Callithrix jacchus: one gene and its partners. The protein of the gene in region 1 purifies or fractionates together with the protein of each later gene. This does not show direct contact. Links are inferred from orthologs where the notes say so. Each region holds a gene or a part of one and is shown on either strand. Other genes may lie near its edges.

Region 1 (5,624 bases):
CCCCTTCCTCAGTGTTCCAAGTAGCTGGGACTACAGGCATTCGCCACCATGCATGCCCGGCTAATTTTTGGTTTTGTATTTTTAGTAGAGACGAGGTTTCACCATGTTGGCCAGGCTGGTGTGGAACTCCTGACATCAGGTGATCTGCTTGCCTTGGCCTCCCAAAGTGCTGGGATTAGAGGCATGAGCCAGCTTGCCCGGCTCTGAGACTTCTTGATGTATTTATGTGTTGACTTGTGTATTGTTCCCTAACTAGGGGTTTATCTGACTCTTACTATGGCTCTCCTGTTTCAAATAGAACCTGGCACATATCAATACTTTTATTGAATGATGGATAAATATGTCTTCAATGCCTTAATTTACAATGTGTTTCTGGTATTCCCATCAGGACCTGTAGGCACACAATACATTAATGACAGATATTTTCACATAAAATCATTAAAACTTGGGCTAAGAAAAACTCTGTAGGCTTCCTATAGCTCTTTAAGGTCTCAAACAATTTTTCAAGTCTGGTTAAAGCTGTGGTGGTGTTTTCCAGGATCTGCTGTTCCTGTTTATGACTAAAAGGGAAACAAATCGCAATTCTTTCACTGTTATTATTATTATTATTTTGAGATGGAGTCTCGCTCTCTCACCAGGCTGGAGTGCACTGGCACTACCTCGGCTCACTGCAACCTCTGCCTCCCGAGTTCAAGCGATTCTCCTGCCTCAGCCTCCTGAGTAGCTGGCACTACAGGCGCATGCCACCACACCTGGCTAATTTTTCTATTTTTTGTAGAGATGGGGTTTTGCCATGTTGGCCAGGCTGGTCTCGAACTCCTGACCTCATGTGATCCATCCACCCGCCTCAGCCTCCCAAAGTGCTGAGATTACAGGCATGTGCCACCATGCCTCTAAGAGTGATCTGGCAGTCACACCTCTGCAAGGTTAGAGATGTCAAAGGGAGTCCTGGTCTAGGCAGAAATGGGAGAGTGACACGAAGTACAGGTGCTTGTGCCGGGCGTGGTGGCGTACTCCTGTGAGTACTCACTGTGGGAGGCCGAAGTGTGAGGATCGCCTGAGACCAAGAGTTCGAGGCCAGCCAGGGCAACATAGTGAGACATTGTCTCCATTAAAAAAAAAAAAAGATCAGAATGCCTCACAAAATTCAAGAAATACAGTGACTTCAAGTGGGTTGGTTTCATTATAGCTCAAGCAGCAGACAGAGGACACGGACCGGGAAGAAATCACCCCACGCAGATGACAACTGAGGAAGGGGGAGTGGGGACTGACACGCTATAGTGAAGCCGGGCACCCCAACCAAAGGCGGTCCTAGGACTGCGACTAGGCGGGCGCAGAGGCCACCCCCCAGGCTTCGCGGGCGGGTGAGGGCAGGGCTGGGGGCCTGCTCAGTCTGGCCTTGAGGAGGGCCTTCTGAGGTCTCCCTTCTTCCCATCGAATCCCCGAGCAGTTCCCAAACAGAAATCGGAGACCAGACGGTGCCTGCGCTCCAGCCCTCTCAGGAGGACTGCACCTCGGGCCTGGCTACGAGGCGGGTCAGAGTCTGCGAAAGACCAGCGAGGGCTCTCGGGTTCTGGGGTAGGCGGCGGGTACCCACCCCCGCGCCTTCCCCAGCCCGCACTGGGAGCTGCGCGGCGACCCGGAGAGCCCGACAAGCCGGGTAGGGCTGCGGCGCAGGTCGTGCTCATGCGGAGGAAACAGCCGCCGCCCCAGCTGACGGAGTGTGGTCGGGGGCTTCCCAGAAGAGGCGGCGAGAGCAAACCCTTTCGAACATTTCCACCAGGCTAGCTCACGTAGCCTCGGCCCCGCCCCAGCCACTCCCGCCACCGCCCCCACCGGCCGACACGACGCGGGTGGGGCAATCTGCGCCAGCCCCTTTAAGAGGCGTGGTGACGTGCTCCGCCCCCACCTGCCTCTCGCGCGCCAATAAGGGGTGGGGTGTGGGAGGAGGTGCCGGGAGGCGGGGGAGTGAGGCGTGCACAGTTGCGCAGGCGCGGTGGTCGGACGACAGATCTTGTATTTCCAAAATGGCGGCAGCGATGGATGTGGATACCCCGAGCGGCACCAACAGCGGCGCGGGCAAGAAGCGCTTTGAAGTGAAAAAGGTTGGGTCTCGCCAGCACCTTCCTCAGGGAAGCTAGAGAGGCGCGGATCTGGCTGGCAGGCCCCAGGATGGTCGAGGCGCGGAGTAAAGGGTTTCATTTCAGGGCGTTCCTGGGACCGGGTACCACGAAAGGAAGCCGGGGGGCGGGTCTTAGAGTTGATCGGCGTGACGGTGGCCCACTGTCAGGGACGTGTTGGTTTCGCTGTGAGGCTGAGGGGCCAATCACGGAGCTGCTTATTGAGATACGCGGGGTTGCGATTTGGCGGCAGGAGCCAAGCGCTTGAGCTGTCACTGGAGTGGTCGAGGTGGGGGAAGGACAGGGTGGGGTAGGGTGGGTGAAATGGGGAGTCGGAGTGACTGCGGCGGTGGAGGATGGGGCAGTGCGGCGAAAGCTGGGAACAATCTGAGGTCGTACTGCATTGGAGGCCTCTGAGGGACCCCGCTGGTGATCTTGCCCCGCCCCTTTTTGAAGCTTGGGGTCCTCTCACTTTGAGGAATCCAGACTTGGTGCTCGCCGAACCGAGGCCTCCATTAACCCCATCTCTGGGCCTCACACCGTCTAAAGAGTCTGGAGTGTAGTGCTTGGCTCTTCTGAGACGTCTGTTGTCTTTTCACATAACCATCTCAGTCCTGGGTTCTCTGTCACGTCCAGAATCTCCCCCTTCCAAAATAAAAATAAAAAGCATGGTGGCATTTGTTAAGAAAATCCGAGCCCAAATCCTGTGGCATTTAGGGAGGGTTGAGTACTAGTCGTGAATGACTTGGTAAGAGTGGAAAAGCAAAAATGGAACGTGTCTTTTTATATGAAATGCCTTTTAGTGGTTTGCCACAGTTTGGGGGACAGTGTCGATTCCCACCTAACATGAAAGCTGTTCAAAATGGAGATTCTGAAATAGGGAAGATATTCCTGGAACATCTGGTTAAACACTGACATATCCCCCCTCCTAGTGCTTTTTGGTGTCTCATTGTGGCCACTGCTGCTCAGTTACAGCCAGCAGCCATATTGAAGAATAATAGAAGAGGGGCTTTTCCTCCAAGTTGAAACTGTGATGTGAAAAGTGGGAAAGAAGTTATAAGGCACTGAGAATGGGGTCTGAAAGTGATGAAGGTTTGGCAGTATTCGTAACTGAGGAAGCCAGAGTGGAATAACTGAAATGCCACTTTTAGTTAAACTCTTACTGGAATTATCTCAATACAAGACATAAAAGTTGGGAACATCTGTTTATTTTATGGTAAGAATCAAACAAAATTCTAGTGAATTCTAGAATTTGTTATAAAGTAATCTTCTAAGATTTAAGTGATGACCTTGGTCTGTGTACTGACACGGGTACTTAATTATCCAGCTTATCCCATGATTATCCATTTTATGGTCCCATGATCATCTTAGTTCATTCTGTTCCCTAGCTTTCACCTCACTGCTCATGCTTCCGGAGCTTCCTGGAAGAGCAGATACTCACTCAGATTTTGAGCTCTTCTGCAACTGCCACAAAAACCTGCACAGTAATTCAAGTTTGTGTTTATTAAGCCTACAACGGGCAGTTAAAAATTGTTCCTAATTTGTTTACATTGATACGGCTGACAATTATTTTATTTCATTTTTTTGAGGCAGAGTCACCCTTTTGCCCAGGCTGGAGTAAAGTGGCACCAATGTCAGCTCATTGCAACCTCTGCCCCCGAGGTTCAAGCAGTTCTGCCTCGGCCTGCCGAGTAGCTGGGATTATAGTCAACTGCCACCATGCCCAGCTAAGTTTTGTATTTTTACTAGAGATGAGGTTTTGCCATGTTGGCCAGGCTTGTCTCAAATTCCTGACCTCAGGTGATCCCCTCGCCTCGGCCTCCCAAAGTGCTAGGATTATAGGTACAAGCCACTGTGCCTGGCCACTAACTAAATTGTTTTATTTTATTTTATTTTGAGATGGAGTTGTGCTGTTGTTACCCAGCTTGGAGTGCAATGGCACGATCTCGGCTCACTGCAACCTCCGCCTTCTGGGTTCAAGCAATTCTGCCTCAGCCTCCCGAGTAGCTGGGACATCAGGTGCGCACTACCGTGCCCAGCTAATTTTTGTATTTTTAGTAGAGACAGGGTTTCACCTCGTTGACCAGGATGGTCTCGATCTCTTGACCTTGTGATCCACCCGCCTCAGCCTCCCAAAGTGCTAGGATTATAGGCGTGCTCCTGGCCAAAGTATTTTAAACTATAAGAAACAAAAGATGACTCATTAATTTCTGTGTTGACATACGCAGCCTTTTGGAGAATGGGAGAACATACGTGTAGTCTACCGTTGTCCTTTGATATAATAAGAATAATGTAATATCCAGAAACTTGTGTTTGGTGGTTCCCCATGGCCGAAGAGGTGGTAACTGCAGCTGCAGCATGAAGTCGTAAAGAGTGTGTGTTACAAGGAGAATGCATTGTTCCCTCTTTTTGTCTTTGCAGTGGAATGCAGTAGCCCTCTGGGCCTGGGATATTGTGGTTGATAACTGTGCCATCTGCAGGAACCACATTATGGATCTTTGTAAGTAATTGGAGGAGGATGGGAGAAAGTTGAGAAGGTTACAGAGATTGTGGCTATCTTGATGTGACCAATTTTCTTCTTCACAAGGAGATAGAAGCCTATGCTGAGCACTCGGTCTTCTGTATCTAATCTGTTGATGTGTTGGAAATAGAGTAGTTTTTTTATGATGTCCTGGAAGCATACCCAGCTCTCAGAATAAATCTACTCAATCTAAAGATGGCAGGGACACATTTAGAATGAATTGTGGACAACAGGCACTATTGACTCTTCCTGGGTATCTCCCCTCTTGTACCTAGACTCGAAGGTAGAAATAGTGAACAGAGGAAAATAAACTTTGAGCTAAAATGTTCTGTCTGAGGCCAGGCACATTGGCTCACTTTGGGAGGCCAAGGTGGGTAGATCATGTGAGGCCAGGAGTTGACCGGACTGGCCAACATGGTGAAACCCCAACTTTATTGAAAACACAAAGATTAGCCAGGCATGGTGGTGCATGCCTGTAAACCCAGCACTTTAGGAGGCAGAGGCAGGCAGCTTATTTGAGGCCAGGAGTTCAAGACTAGCCTGGCCAAATGGTGAAACCCCGTCTCTACGAAAAATACAAAAATTAGCTGGTCGTGATGGTGCATGTCTGTAATCCCAGCTACTTGAGAGGCTGAAGCAGGAAAATAGCTTGAACCTGGGAAGTGAAGGTTACAGTGAACTGAGATCACACCACTGCACTACAAACTGATCTACCGCCTCGGCCTCCCTCAGCAACTCTGTCTCCCAAAAAAAAAAAAAAAAAAATTCTATCTGAGGTAATTTTTGCTGGTCATTGTTTACAAAGGAAAGAAGCCTAAGGTATAAGGATTTTGTATGTTAGCCCTAAACATAGTTAAAAAAAAAAAAAAGACATCATTTTCAACATCTAAATAGGTAATTAATTGCACTAAAGAAATTTTATTTAAATCTTTACATATTTTATTACATGTAATGGGTCAGCACGTAGTGATTCGATTATAGAC
Region 2 (5,493 bases), on another chromosome or scaffold:
TTGCCGTCACAACCTCCTAAACTAAGATTTTTTTTTTGAGATGAAGTCTTGCACTGTTGCCTGGGCTGGAGTGCAATGGTGTGATCTCAGCTCACTGTAACTACCACCTCGATTCTCTTGCCTCAGCCTCCTGAGTAGCTGAGATCATAGGCGCCCACCACCACGCCCAGATAATTTTTTGTATTTTTAGTAGAAACAGGGTTTCACTATGTTGGCCAGGCTAGTCTCAAACTCCTGACCTCATGATCCGCCCGTCTTGGCCTCCCAAAGTGCTGGGATTACAGGCATGAACCACTGTGACTGGCCCACCATCCCAATCTTACTAAAAGCTTTCTCTTTGGGTGGCCTGCTGGAGCCCCTCCATGGGGAAGTCCCCAGCTCTGCCCCACCCCAAATAGACCCCCAGCAGTGTCCCACCACTGTGTGCCACTCACCTGCACAGGAGGCACGCCGCTGTTGCTCTGCCGGAACTCGCCCTCGTCCCCAGCGCTGATCTCCTCATAATCATCCAGCATCCGTACTCGCATCCCTGGCTGCAGTGTGTCCCGCACATACAAGGCATAGGTATTGCCACTTGCAAACTCAGAACGAGGGCGAAACCGTCTTGATCTCCTGAAGGAGGGCTGAGCCTGGGCGGTGGGGAGCCCTGGGCTCACAGCTGTCAGCTGAGGCTGGAAGATGGAACCAGGGAACCGTGCAGAGCTCCTTGGTTTGTCTGAGGCCTGGTTCCAGCGCATGGCTTGCACCAGCTCTGAGATCAGGGTGCCCATGGCCATACTGAACTCCAGCTCCAGTTGACCCCTCTCCCCACTCAACTCCTCAGGAGCAGAGGTGTTCTGGGTTCCTGCCTCCACAGCACTGTCGTTCAGCTGATCCAGAAGTGAGGTGACATGCAAATACCGCTTCACCAGGGAGAAGAGCACCCTTCCTGGGACCTGTGGGATACAATCTTTGGTCTACATCCATCTTGTCCCATTTTAAGCCCCTCTCTCCACACCATCCTCTGTAGACAGGTGCAAAGACTCAGTCCCTAGATCTGGTTCACAAGCTCCCCCCACCTTACACCCCAAAGGTTACCTGTGGTAGCTGAATGCCCTCGAAAGACATGGGATGTTCAGAGAGCGTGGCCTGTGCAAACAGTGCTAGCAGAGCACAGCGGCTATCAAAATCCAGGTGTTTCTCAATGGCTTCTTGTTGGCTCAGTGACAGAAGGATCTGAGTCCGGGTCCCTGTAACCCACACCCCAATCGGTAACTTCTCCCCAACCTCACCCTTCCTAAAATCTTGGACCGTCTACTCTTTCAATCCAATCCTTTTGCCACCACACAGTGGGAAATCATTGATTTGCTTCAAAAGTTAAAATTTGCTAACTTATATACACACACACAATCTGCAATAGTCTAAATTCTTCCTTTGCATAAAAAGTAACTAATTAACATGAGATTTTTGAAGATAGGGTTTCCTCTTTTGGCAGATACCCCCCGCCCTCACCCCCATTCCCACCTCCTTTTCTTCCAACTCTAAGAGAAGGGCAACAGAATCATTTACGTACTGATGAGATTAGAGGCTCCTGCCACAGTGTCCTGTGAGTCCCTGAGCCGACCCAGCCCTTCTGCTTTCCCTTCCTCCCCACACTGCCCCTCACCAGCATCATGGGAGGACAGGGCTTGTATCATCCGGCCTGCGCTCCAGCGAATCTGATAATCGGGACTACTCAACATGTGCATGAGCAAGTCCAGGACCCTTGGGTCCTTGAACACCCCAGTGAGGGGCTCGATGCTGGCATAGGCGCTGAGCACGTGGACAGTGTGAAGTAGAGGAGCAGGAGGGATGGTGCCCACACACTCCTCCAGCTGCCGAAGGGCTCTCTGAATGAGGGACTTCACATCAGTTTCCATCTCCTCCAGTACAGATTTGTCCAGGGCCCCAACCTCCCCTGCAGACTGGGAGGGCCTGATGACCTGGCCATCCTCGCCCAGCATCTTGTGGCAGTTGGCATATATCTCATCCTTAGACATCCACAGCAGGATATGTTCAGCCTTGCAGTCCACTTGGCCAGCGACCCCGTCCCCATCATCGCCACGCCGCAGGATGAGCCAGCGGATCTGGTACTCAGGATGCCCATCATGGCCCACTCGCTGGCGGATCAGCTCATCAGGATAGGCATGTAAGCCAGGCCCCAGGGGCACCCTGAATTCCCTGTAGCGGAGTTCCCCCACCATCCTGGCACCTGGAGCACACAAGGAAGAGAGAACAGACAAGCTAGAGTAAGGAGAGGTCAGAAAAATCAGACATCCAGGAGTTAGGGAAGCAAATGGCAACAGCTGTCGGGCAGGGTGGGGTAAAGCCAGGCCCAGGAGTTGCATGCTGCACGCTGGATGGGGGCAGGCCTAAGCAGAGAACACGGGGGTTGTGTTGTGAAAGAACACAAAATTTGGGGGCTAAAAGGAAGGTCCCCAAAACCCTGCAGCCTGGAGTGGGTGGGTTTGGAATAGTGGGCAGACAGTGGGGGCAGGGCAGCCTTGGAGTTTACAAGTGAATTCCAAGACTTTGGGACAGGCAGCAACCCTGGGGGCATGTGAAGCCCAGAGGGGTAGATTTATGGGGGGCTGGGAAGGAGATCGCGAGTGTGTGTGTGGAAAAGGGTGCTGTCTCTACGATTGGAACATGGGAGTGTGAGTCGCAGAGTTAAGAGACCCGAGAAATGGTGGTTGAGGGCAAGGCGCGATGGGCTGGAGGCACCTCTGACTGGAGCAACCGGAGCAAGAGGGCTGGTGGGGGCGCTGTGAGACCCAGGGCAGGGTGCACAGGAGAACAGGCAGGGGAGGGGCGCGAGGCTTGGGGGACCGAGGTTGGAGACCCGAGAAGCCTGGAACGCGCGCTATAAGGTGGGGGAGAGGGGCTAACTCCCATAAACTAGAACCCCGAGACACGGTGGGATGCGGGGCCGAGGTCAAGTGAGCGCGAGGATCCACGGGCAAGTGGTCAGGGGAGGAGCAAGGGGCCGCAGCGGGGCTCTGGCCACCTCAGAAGTCCACCGGGGTCCTGACGCGAGGCCTGTCCTTCACAGAGCAAGGGACGCGGCACAGACGCTGACGACGAATTGGGTCCCACCTGGGCCCCGCGAGGGGATCCAGACGGAGAGATCTGAGGGGGTGTGCCTCTGCGGAACAGAACAGCAGCGCCCGCGTGGGTCGGCAGCCACTGGGGCAGGGTGGGGCCTGGTCCCTGCCAGTGACTCCGCCTGCCAAAAGCCACGGCTCATTTCCGCCAGACCCAGCGGAAAGCTAGGGGCCCTGGGAGAGCGCTGGGGCGGAGCTGCGGGTGCCACCTTGGCGACGCAGCACCTCCTTCCCTGCGCCGCCCTTTCCTCTTCCTTTTTGTCCTCCCTCCTGCCGGAAGTGCCCTCCCCGTTTCCCAAAGTCAGAACTGGAAAAGGCCTTGGACGTCACTAATTTCCATCCTCGGGCTCCATTACCTGTAAGGGAACTGGGGTGGGGGCAGACCCACAGTGTCCTGTCTTTATCTTCCGACACTTTTTACTGCTTCTCCCCACATTCTGTCTGTACCATCCCCTCCCCCGCAAAAAACAGTAACAGATAAAAACAGGAGGTGGGGCATTTTATTAGAGTACAGGGATATCAGCTTTGGGCAGCAGCAGAAGGCAGCTTCACATAACTCTTCATGGGGGGTAGTGGCCGAATCTTTCGGCCAGCCCAGCCCCCCTTGCGGTGCCATCGCCCACTGTTAGGCCTCTTGCCCAGCCAACGGTTGCGCCCTGCCTTGCCAATAACCCGTTTGTTATGATCAACGTTGGATACTCGACCTACTGTTGCTATGCACGTTTCCAGCACCTGACAGAGAAAACAGATGGAGAAGAATGTACGATGTGGGGGCAAGATTTGACAATGTTTAGAGCACAACCCTTGGGGGGCGTCTTAGACTCAATGAGAGAAGGGAGAGGAGAAAGAAAAAGCACAAGACGGGTGAAGCTAAGTGAAGGTCCTACAGGAGGAACAAGGTAGTTGAAATCGAAGAGCCGGGTGCACTGACTCACGCCAGTAATCCCAGCACTTTGGAAGGCCGAGGCTGGAGGGTAACTTGAGCCCAGTTTGAGACCAGCCCAGGCACTATAGTGAAACCCCATCTCTACAAAATAAAAACTATTAGCCGGGGCCAGGTGCAGTGGCTCACACCTGTAATCCCAGCACTTTGGGAGGCCTAGGAGGGCAGATCGCTTGAGCCAGGAGTTCAAGACCAGCCTGGCCAACATGGTAAAACCCTATCTCTATAAAAAATATGAAAATTAGCTGGATGTAGTGGCATGTGCCTGTAGTCCCAGCTACTTGGGGGGCTGAGGCAGAAGGACTGCTTGAACCCAGGAGTTTGAGGCTGCAGTGAGCTATGATTGTGCCATCGCACTCAAGCAATAGAAACCCGGTCTCAAAAAAATTAATTAGGGTTGGGCATGGTGGCTCAGCCCTGTAATCCTAGCACTTTGGGAGGCTGAGGTGAGCAGATTAAGGTCAGGAGTTTGAGACCAGCCTGGCCAACACGATGAAACCCCATCTCTACTAAAAATACAAAAATTGGCCAGGCGCGGTGGCTCATGCCTATAATCCCAGCACTTTGAGAGGCCGAGGTGGGTGGATCACCTGAGGTTGGCAATTTGAGACCAGCCTGACCAACATGGTAAAACCTTGTCTCTACTAAATATACAAAATTAGCCAGGTGTGGTGGCCCATGCCTATAATCCCAGCTACTCAGGAGGCTGAGGCAGGAGAATCACTTGAACCTGGGAGGTGGAGGTTTTGGTGAGCCGAGATCATGCTATTGCACTCCAGCCTGGGCAACAAGGGTGAAACTCCATCTCAAAATAAAATAAAATTTAAAAAATTAGCCAGATGTGGTGGTTCATGCATATAGTCCCAGCTACTTGGGAGGTTGAGGCAGGAGAATAGACTGAACCTGGGGGGGTGGAGATTGCAGTGAGCCGAGATCGCTCCACTGCACTCCAGCCTGAGCGACAGAGCAGGACTCTGTCTTGAAAAAACACAAATTAGTTATGATACCAATCTGATAAAGCACACCTGTCATGTGGCAGAAAAGGACGGACTCAGCTCAAGGCAGTTCCTTGCAACATAAACACCTGGGACCTAACCCAGACAGGAAAGTTACATTCCAAAAATTCCTCCTTTGCTGACCCCTCCCACCCATACCCATACACACCTGCATCTGCCTCTTAGAGGGCAGCTGAATAATGGCTGTGCCATTCACCTTCCGCAGTAGCACACCACACGTCCCTGAGGAAAGAAGCCAAGTTGACACCCTCCACAAAACAAGGGTGTCGAGGGTCACAGGGGACATACCACACATGCTGCCCTTGCTTTGCTCTTTAGGAGCAGATACACAAAGAAGGATACATGCTATGTTTTAAGTCAAAACACATGCACATCTTCATCCTCATGTTTCTTCTTTTTTCCTTGATTTTCT
Region 3 (5,631 bases), on another chromosome or scaffold:
GGGAAAATAACTCATGACAGAATTTTTTTTTAAAGTTTTTATAAAAAGCAAGTCACTCACTAAAGGCAGACTCTGTAGAATAATAGGAAACACTGGGGTAAAGCCATCCCTGCTCCAAGAAGCCTTCCTTGGCTCTCTTGGTTGGATTCAGTGCGCTTCTTTTTTTTTGAGATGGAGTTTCTCTGTTGTTACAATAGCACGATCTTGGCTCACCGCAACCTCTGCCTCCTGGTTCAAGCAATTCTCCTGCCTCAGCCTCCTGAGTAGCTGGGATTACAGGCGCACACCACCATGCCCAGCTAATTTTTGTATTTTTAGTAGAGACAGGGTTTCACCTTGTTGACCAGGATGGTCTTGATCTCTTGACCTCGTTATCCACCCACCTTGGCCTCCCAAAGTGTTGGGATTATAGACGTGAGCCACCATGCCCAGCCTCAGTGCACTTCTTACACTATACAGAACTTAATGGCTTTCCTTGTCTACCTCCCAAGCCATACTGTCTGCAACTTCAGACCAAAAGCTGTCTTATCTGTCTTATCTTACAGTTATTAGTACCTACTTCCCAAAACACCTGCCAAACAGAGGGCCTTTATTCGGTAGCTCATAAATAGGAATAATCAATTTTATATTTACCTTTTATTTTACATTTTACAAAGCACTTTCACAAACACTGTCTTTTTTGACCCACATTAACAATCATGGGAAGGGCTTTATTTAATCAAATGGCTTCTGGTTTTATAAACAGTTACTTCGATGACTAAAACAATCCTGAAATCACAAAGATAATTACATGTTTGTTCATCTTTGAGATAGCTTCTCCTTGGGATCTCAGTGTTCTCATAAAATTCATGTTTTGCTAGCATTTTCTTTGCTTGCTCTCGATAATAGGTAGGACTCATCCAGTTCTGAATCTGAAGGGTTTAAACTTAATAAAGCAATTATTAAAGACCCTTCTAGAAACCAGACAAGAACAAGCATCCTAAGCTACCTTTTTCTGATCCTGTTCTTTTTGTAACTGAGTAAGGTAAGGAATTGCAAAAGTCAAAATCTGGAGAGCAAATGATGTCATGGATGTCACGCAGTTGCATCAATAAGTGATGATGATTTAGCATAACAGTGCAACATATTATGCCAAGAAGCATAATGATGAGCCACCAGGATGTTTTACTGCATTAATTTCATGACTCTTTATTAGTGAATTGATATGCAAAGTAGCTCTCCAATTTTCTACCACAGAGAAGCTGACAGTTCAGATTTACATCTTTAGCAAAGACACTAAGAAAATCGACAAATTTCTACGGAAAAGTCTGATTTAAAAATAGAAAAGGAGGCTGGGCACGGTGGCTCAAGCCTGGCAAAGGTGGGGTATTGCTTGAGACCAGGAGTTTGAGATCAGCCTGGGCAACATGGTAAAACCCCGTCTCTGCTAAAATTACAAAAACTAATTAACTGGGCGTGGTGGTGCACGCCTGTAATCCCAGCTACTCAAGAGGCTGAGGCACGAGAATCGCTTAAACCCAAGGGATGGACGTTGCAGTGAGCCGAAATCATGCCACTGCACTCCAGTCTGGGTGACAGAGTGAGAGACTGCCTCAAAAAAAAAAAAAAAGGAGAAAGAGAGAGAAATGGTCAAATAATAACCGAAACAGTTGTCATTTCACCAAGGAAAATCTTTTTAAGATATACAGCATGCCCATGGATCAATGTGGATTGAATAATGCATTTATATTGGCATGTCAAAAGCAAATAGTTAAAATAACATACAATAGAAAAGACACCCAATCAGATTACACACATGAATACACTCAAAGTTAGCAATTAAACACAGCAACACCAATGTTCATAAGAGCTATAGACTTATTTCTAAATGTTCAATTGTAAATGATGGTACTTTCCAAATTTTCCTTCTCTTTAAATCCATGACGTCACCATTCTTAAGCACAAGTAAAGCCAATGTGTTACAAAAGGTATTTTGGTGTGTCCAAGCAAAAGCAATTGCCTCAACAATTCCCCACAGCACAGTCCAATGAAGCCATCATTCCTCAAGGAAGAGGCCACAAGGCTTCAAAACCGACTTCCCTACATGAGAAACACAAAGTCTCCCAATTAGCATTTAAACAACAACAAAAGTTGTTCTCCAAAAGGAACAAGCATAGTTACAATGTTGCTGCCGGCAAGTGAGAACTGGTAAAGCGTCAGATCTTCATCTAGATCCATCAGAATCCCACCACAGAAAAATCCAAAGACTCTGGCAATTAAGAAATGAAGCCTTTATTTTCCTAATAAAAGTCGGGAGATTTAACAGACAAAGCAATTGGCTATTCTGAATCTTAACAATCCGAAGGTTTCAAACGAATTCAACTGGCGCTGAGGTTACCCTGCAGAGACCATCAAGATCTCACAATTGCTTTCTCTTCGCTTACAAATTCGTTCCCACCCTCCACCGTTCCCTTACCACACACAATTCTCGCCAAGAGAAGTCTTCCACAGTCACAGCATGGATTGCTGTCTCAAGCAAGGAGATCCGCAGTTTCCATTTCTCTAGGGGAACACTCAACAAGCTAGGGGCTAGGAAAGGCCGCTTATTTTATTTCACGAAAACCAATTTCCAAATTATCCCTCTGCAACTGCAGCTTCAGTGATGCTGGCCCCCAGCCGCAGCCCCAATTTTGATGGGCACCCGACTCCCGGCTCCTCTCTCGCAAAGAAGTAAAAGGTTCGGAGGCCCGATGAAAGATTATCTGACACCCTAAAGCCATCCTTGCTCGGGCCACACATCCCTTCACTGCCCGGGTGAGGGGACGAGAATCACCCTGCTGGGGAGAGAGGGTGGGTTCGCTCCCAACCCAAGGGCTGGCTGGAAAGGAACTCTCCTCCTCTCCTCCTCACTCAAGGACGGCGATAGCAAGGCGCCCTGCCCAACCAAGACCGACCCCTGCGCGGGATGCGGGACCTGCGCCAGACCAGGGGCGCCCGCTGCCCCTTGCCAGCCCCGGGCATAAAGGGCAGGAGGCGCCAGCTCCCCATCGCGGCCCCGGGAGGAGGAGAGGCCTCACCTGGCCCAGCCCGCTCCAAGCTCTCGGGTTCGCTCCGGTGGCGACGGTAATGAGGGAGCCAGGGACAGGGCCAGAGCAGAGGCGCTGTGCCTAAGGCCGCGATAGCCGTGCTCCGGGCTCTTCACAGCTGGCGGGACCCCAAGCCACCCAGAGCCGCCATCTTCCTCCACTCAAACCCCGCCGCCGCAGCTGCTGCTCTAGCCGAGAGAAGACAGAGCAGAGCGCGCATGCGCAGGGGCGGGCACGAAGGACACACGCGCGCGCACTCACGTCAACGCGGCGGGCCGGCGCGGGGCGGCTAGGGGGCGGCGCCATATTGAGAAGGGCTGTGGCTACAGACCAAGATTCTGTGGAGGATGGAATCTTCCGGGGGTGCGAAGCTTCCGCACCCGTCTTCGCCGCGTCTCCAGCGTCGACCTCATAGCCGCACCCACCCTCCGCTGCAAATGTCTGGAGCACCTGGGTGGTTTTCCCTGTGATTTGAGACCAACCTTTAGCCAGGAATTAACTAAGTTCTACCCCGAGGGCCCGATGAGCACAGAGGTGGCGGATGTAAGTGCCCCTGGACATCCCCACGGGGAGGGAAACTCCGCCTGAGGTGTGCAAGAGAAGCCTCCCTTAATCGTAGTAGCCTTGTAGCAACCACTGTGTGAGGTGTTTTACTAGCTCCACTTTTCAGATGAGGAAACTGAGGCACGGAAAACGATCAGTTATTTGTCCAGAGCCACACACCTAGCAGTGGAGGTGGGGCGGCGCGGGAAACATAGGATTTAAACTCGGGCATGTAGGATTCCCAAGTTCCTTTACATCCTACTGGCTATCACCAAGGGATAGATTCCAGCAAAGCCCCCTCCCAAGGGAGCAACCTGGTGTGTAGGTGAGAACGAACCTTCACGAGCTTAGCCCTACATACAGCATGTGGTCTAAGGAAATGCCAGATGGAGTCAAGGGCTTCAGTCTAAACTCCGTAAGCAAAAAAAAAAAAAAAAAAAAAAAAACTAAGCCCCTCCCCACCACCACTACCACCACACCAAGCATTCTGAATGGACTTTCTCCTAGGCCAGGCCAGAGAGGTAAATTGACCAGGGCAGTCTAAATTTAACATGGTTCAGGCCATGACAGGAAGTGGGGGTCAGACATGCCTCATTATACCCTCCAGCACTAACATCAACACAACAGACCTTAAGACTGATTAACAATTGCAGGCCGGTTGCGAGGTGGCTGACACCTGTAATCACAGCACTTTGGGAGGCCAAGGCTAGCAGATCACGAGGTCAAGAGATCAAGACCATCCTGGTCAAAAAAAAAAGGTGAAACCCCATCTCTACTAAAAATACAAAAATTAGCTGGGCATGGTGGTACGCGCCTGTAGTCCCAGCTACTCGGGAGGCTGAGGCAGGTGAATCGCTTGAACCCAGGAGGCGGAGGTTGCAGTGAGCAAGAATGTGCCTCTCTACTTCAGCCTAGGCGACAGAGCAAGACTGTCTCAGAAAAACAAACAAGAGGCCCGGCGCGGTGGCTCCCAGCACTTTGGGAGGCCGAGGCGGGTGGATCACGAGGTCAAGAGATCGAGACCATCCTGGTCAACATGGTGGAACCCCGTCTCTACTAAAAATAGAAAAAATTAGCTGGGCATGGTGGCGTGTGCCAGTAATCCCAGCTACTCAGGAGGCTGAGGCAGGAGAATTGCCTGAACCCAGGAGACGGAGGTTGCAGTGAGCCGAGATTGCACCATTGCATTCCAGCCTGGGTAACAAGAGCGAAACTCTATCTCAAAAAAAAAAAAAATAAATAACAACAACAAAAAAAACTTTGTTGTCCACAACCCCTTATAATAACCCTGACATTCATTTCTATTGATAACTTTTTTTTTTTTTTGAGACAGGGTCTGGCTTTGTTGCCCAGGCTGGAGTGCACTGACGAGTTATTGGTTCATTGAAACCTCTGCCTTTCAGGCTCAAGCCATCCTCCTACCTTAGCCTCCTGAGTAGCTGGGACTACAGGCAGCACCCCCATGCCCAGCTAATTCTTTTCATTTTTGTAGAGACAGGGTTTCACCATGTTGCCTACACTGGTCTCAAACTCCTGAGCTCAAGCAATCCACTTGCTTTCAGCCTCCCAAAGTGCTATGATTAAAAGCATGTGCCACCACACCAGGCCTACTGATAATAACTCTTTCAACTCATCACCAATCAGAAATTTTTTTGTTTGTTTATTTTAAAGAACGAAAGAAAGAGTAAGAGAAAAGGGGGAGAGAGAACAGGAGTCTTGCTCTATTGCCCAGGCTGGAATGCAATCTAGAAATAGGTATTAAAAACCTCTTTTATGCTGATGATTGTGCTTAACAGCGGAGACAGGAAGGAATAAGGAAAGAAAATACAAACAGCCAACCAATATTTCGTTTAAATCTGTGAAATGCTGTGCAAGTGCTGAAGAGTGATTTGCTTCCATTTATGTGGTCACTTTCAAAATAGGTATAATGTGATACTAAAAAAAATGTATGTTCTGTGGACCTGGGGTGTAGAATTCTATAAATATTCACTGAGTTTACTTGTTCCAGGTCTGAGTTCAAATC

The links. Proteins that work in one complex are often made in the same cells at the same time.
Region 2: the proteins of RBX1 (region 1) and CUL7 purify together in Homo sapiens (affinity purification with mass spectrometry; 9 studies listed by BioGRID and IntAct, with this or other methods). This does not show direct contact. The link is inferred for Callithrix jacchus from reciprocal best matches to the Homo sapiens genes RBX1 and CUL7.
Region 3: the proteins of RBX1 (region 1) and FBXO42 purify together in Homo sapiens (affinity purification with mass spectrometry; 4 studies listed by BioGRID and IntAct, with this or other methods). This does not show direct contact. The link is inferred for Callithrix jacchus from reciprocal best matches to the Homo sapiens genes RBX1 and FBXO42.

Annotation. Positions count from the first base shown.
Region 1 is NC_133502.1:191,767,379-191,773,002, forward strand, and holds the start of RBX1 (E3 ubiquitin-protein ligase RBX1), read left to right. Parts: upstream 1-2,006; 5' UTR 2,007-2,027; coding exon 2,028-2,105; intron 2,106-4,541; coding exon 4,542-4,620; intron 4,621-5,624. UniProt on the Homo sapiens protein: E3 ubiquitin ligase component of multiple cullin-RING-based E3 ubiquitin-protein ligase (CRLs) complexes which mediate the ubiquitination and subsequent proteasomal degradation of target proteins, including proteins involved in cell cycle progression, signal transduction, transcription and transcription-coupled nucleotide excision repair.
Region 2 is NC_133505.1:51,530,235-51,535,727, forward strand, and holds the start of CUL7 (cullin-7), read right to left. Parts: upstream 3,270-5,493; 5' UTR 3,266-3,269; coding exon 3,115-3,265; exon of another isoform or gene 3,026-3,114; intron 2,231-3,025; coding exon 1,553-2,230; intron 1,230-1,552; coding exon 1,078-1,229; intron 936-1,077; coding exon 435-935; intron 1-434. Other genes in the region: MRPL2 (large ribosomal subunit protein uL2m), read right to left, coding at 3,642-3,854, 5,230-5,303. UniProt on the Homo sapiens protein: Core component of the 3M and Cul7-RING(FBXW8) complexes, which mediate the ubiquitination and subsequent proteasomal degradation of target proteins. Core component of the 3M complex, a complex required to regulate microtubule dynamics and genome integrity.
Region 3 is NC_133508.1:53,658,877-53,664,507, forward strand, and holds the start of FBXO42 (F-box only protein 42), read right to left. Parts: upstream 3,270-5,631; 5' UTR 3,057-3,269; intron 1-3,056. UniProt on the Homo sapiens protein: Substrate-recognition component of some SCF (SKP1-CUL1-F-box protein)-type E3 ubiquitin ligase complex. Specifically recognizes p53/TP53, promoting its ubiquitination and degradation.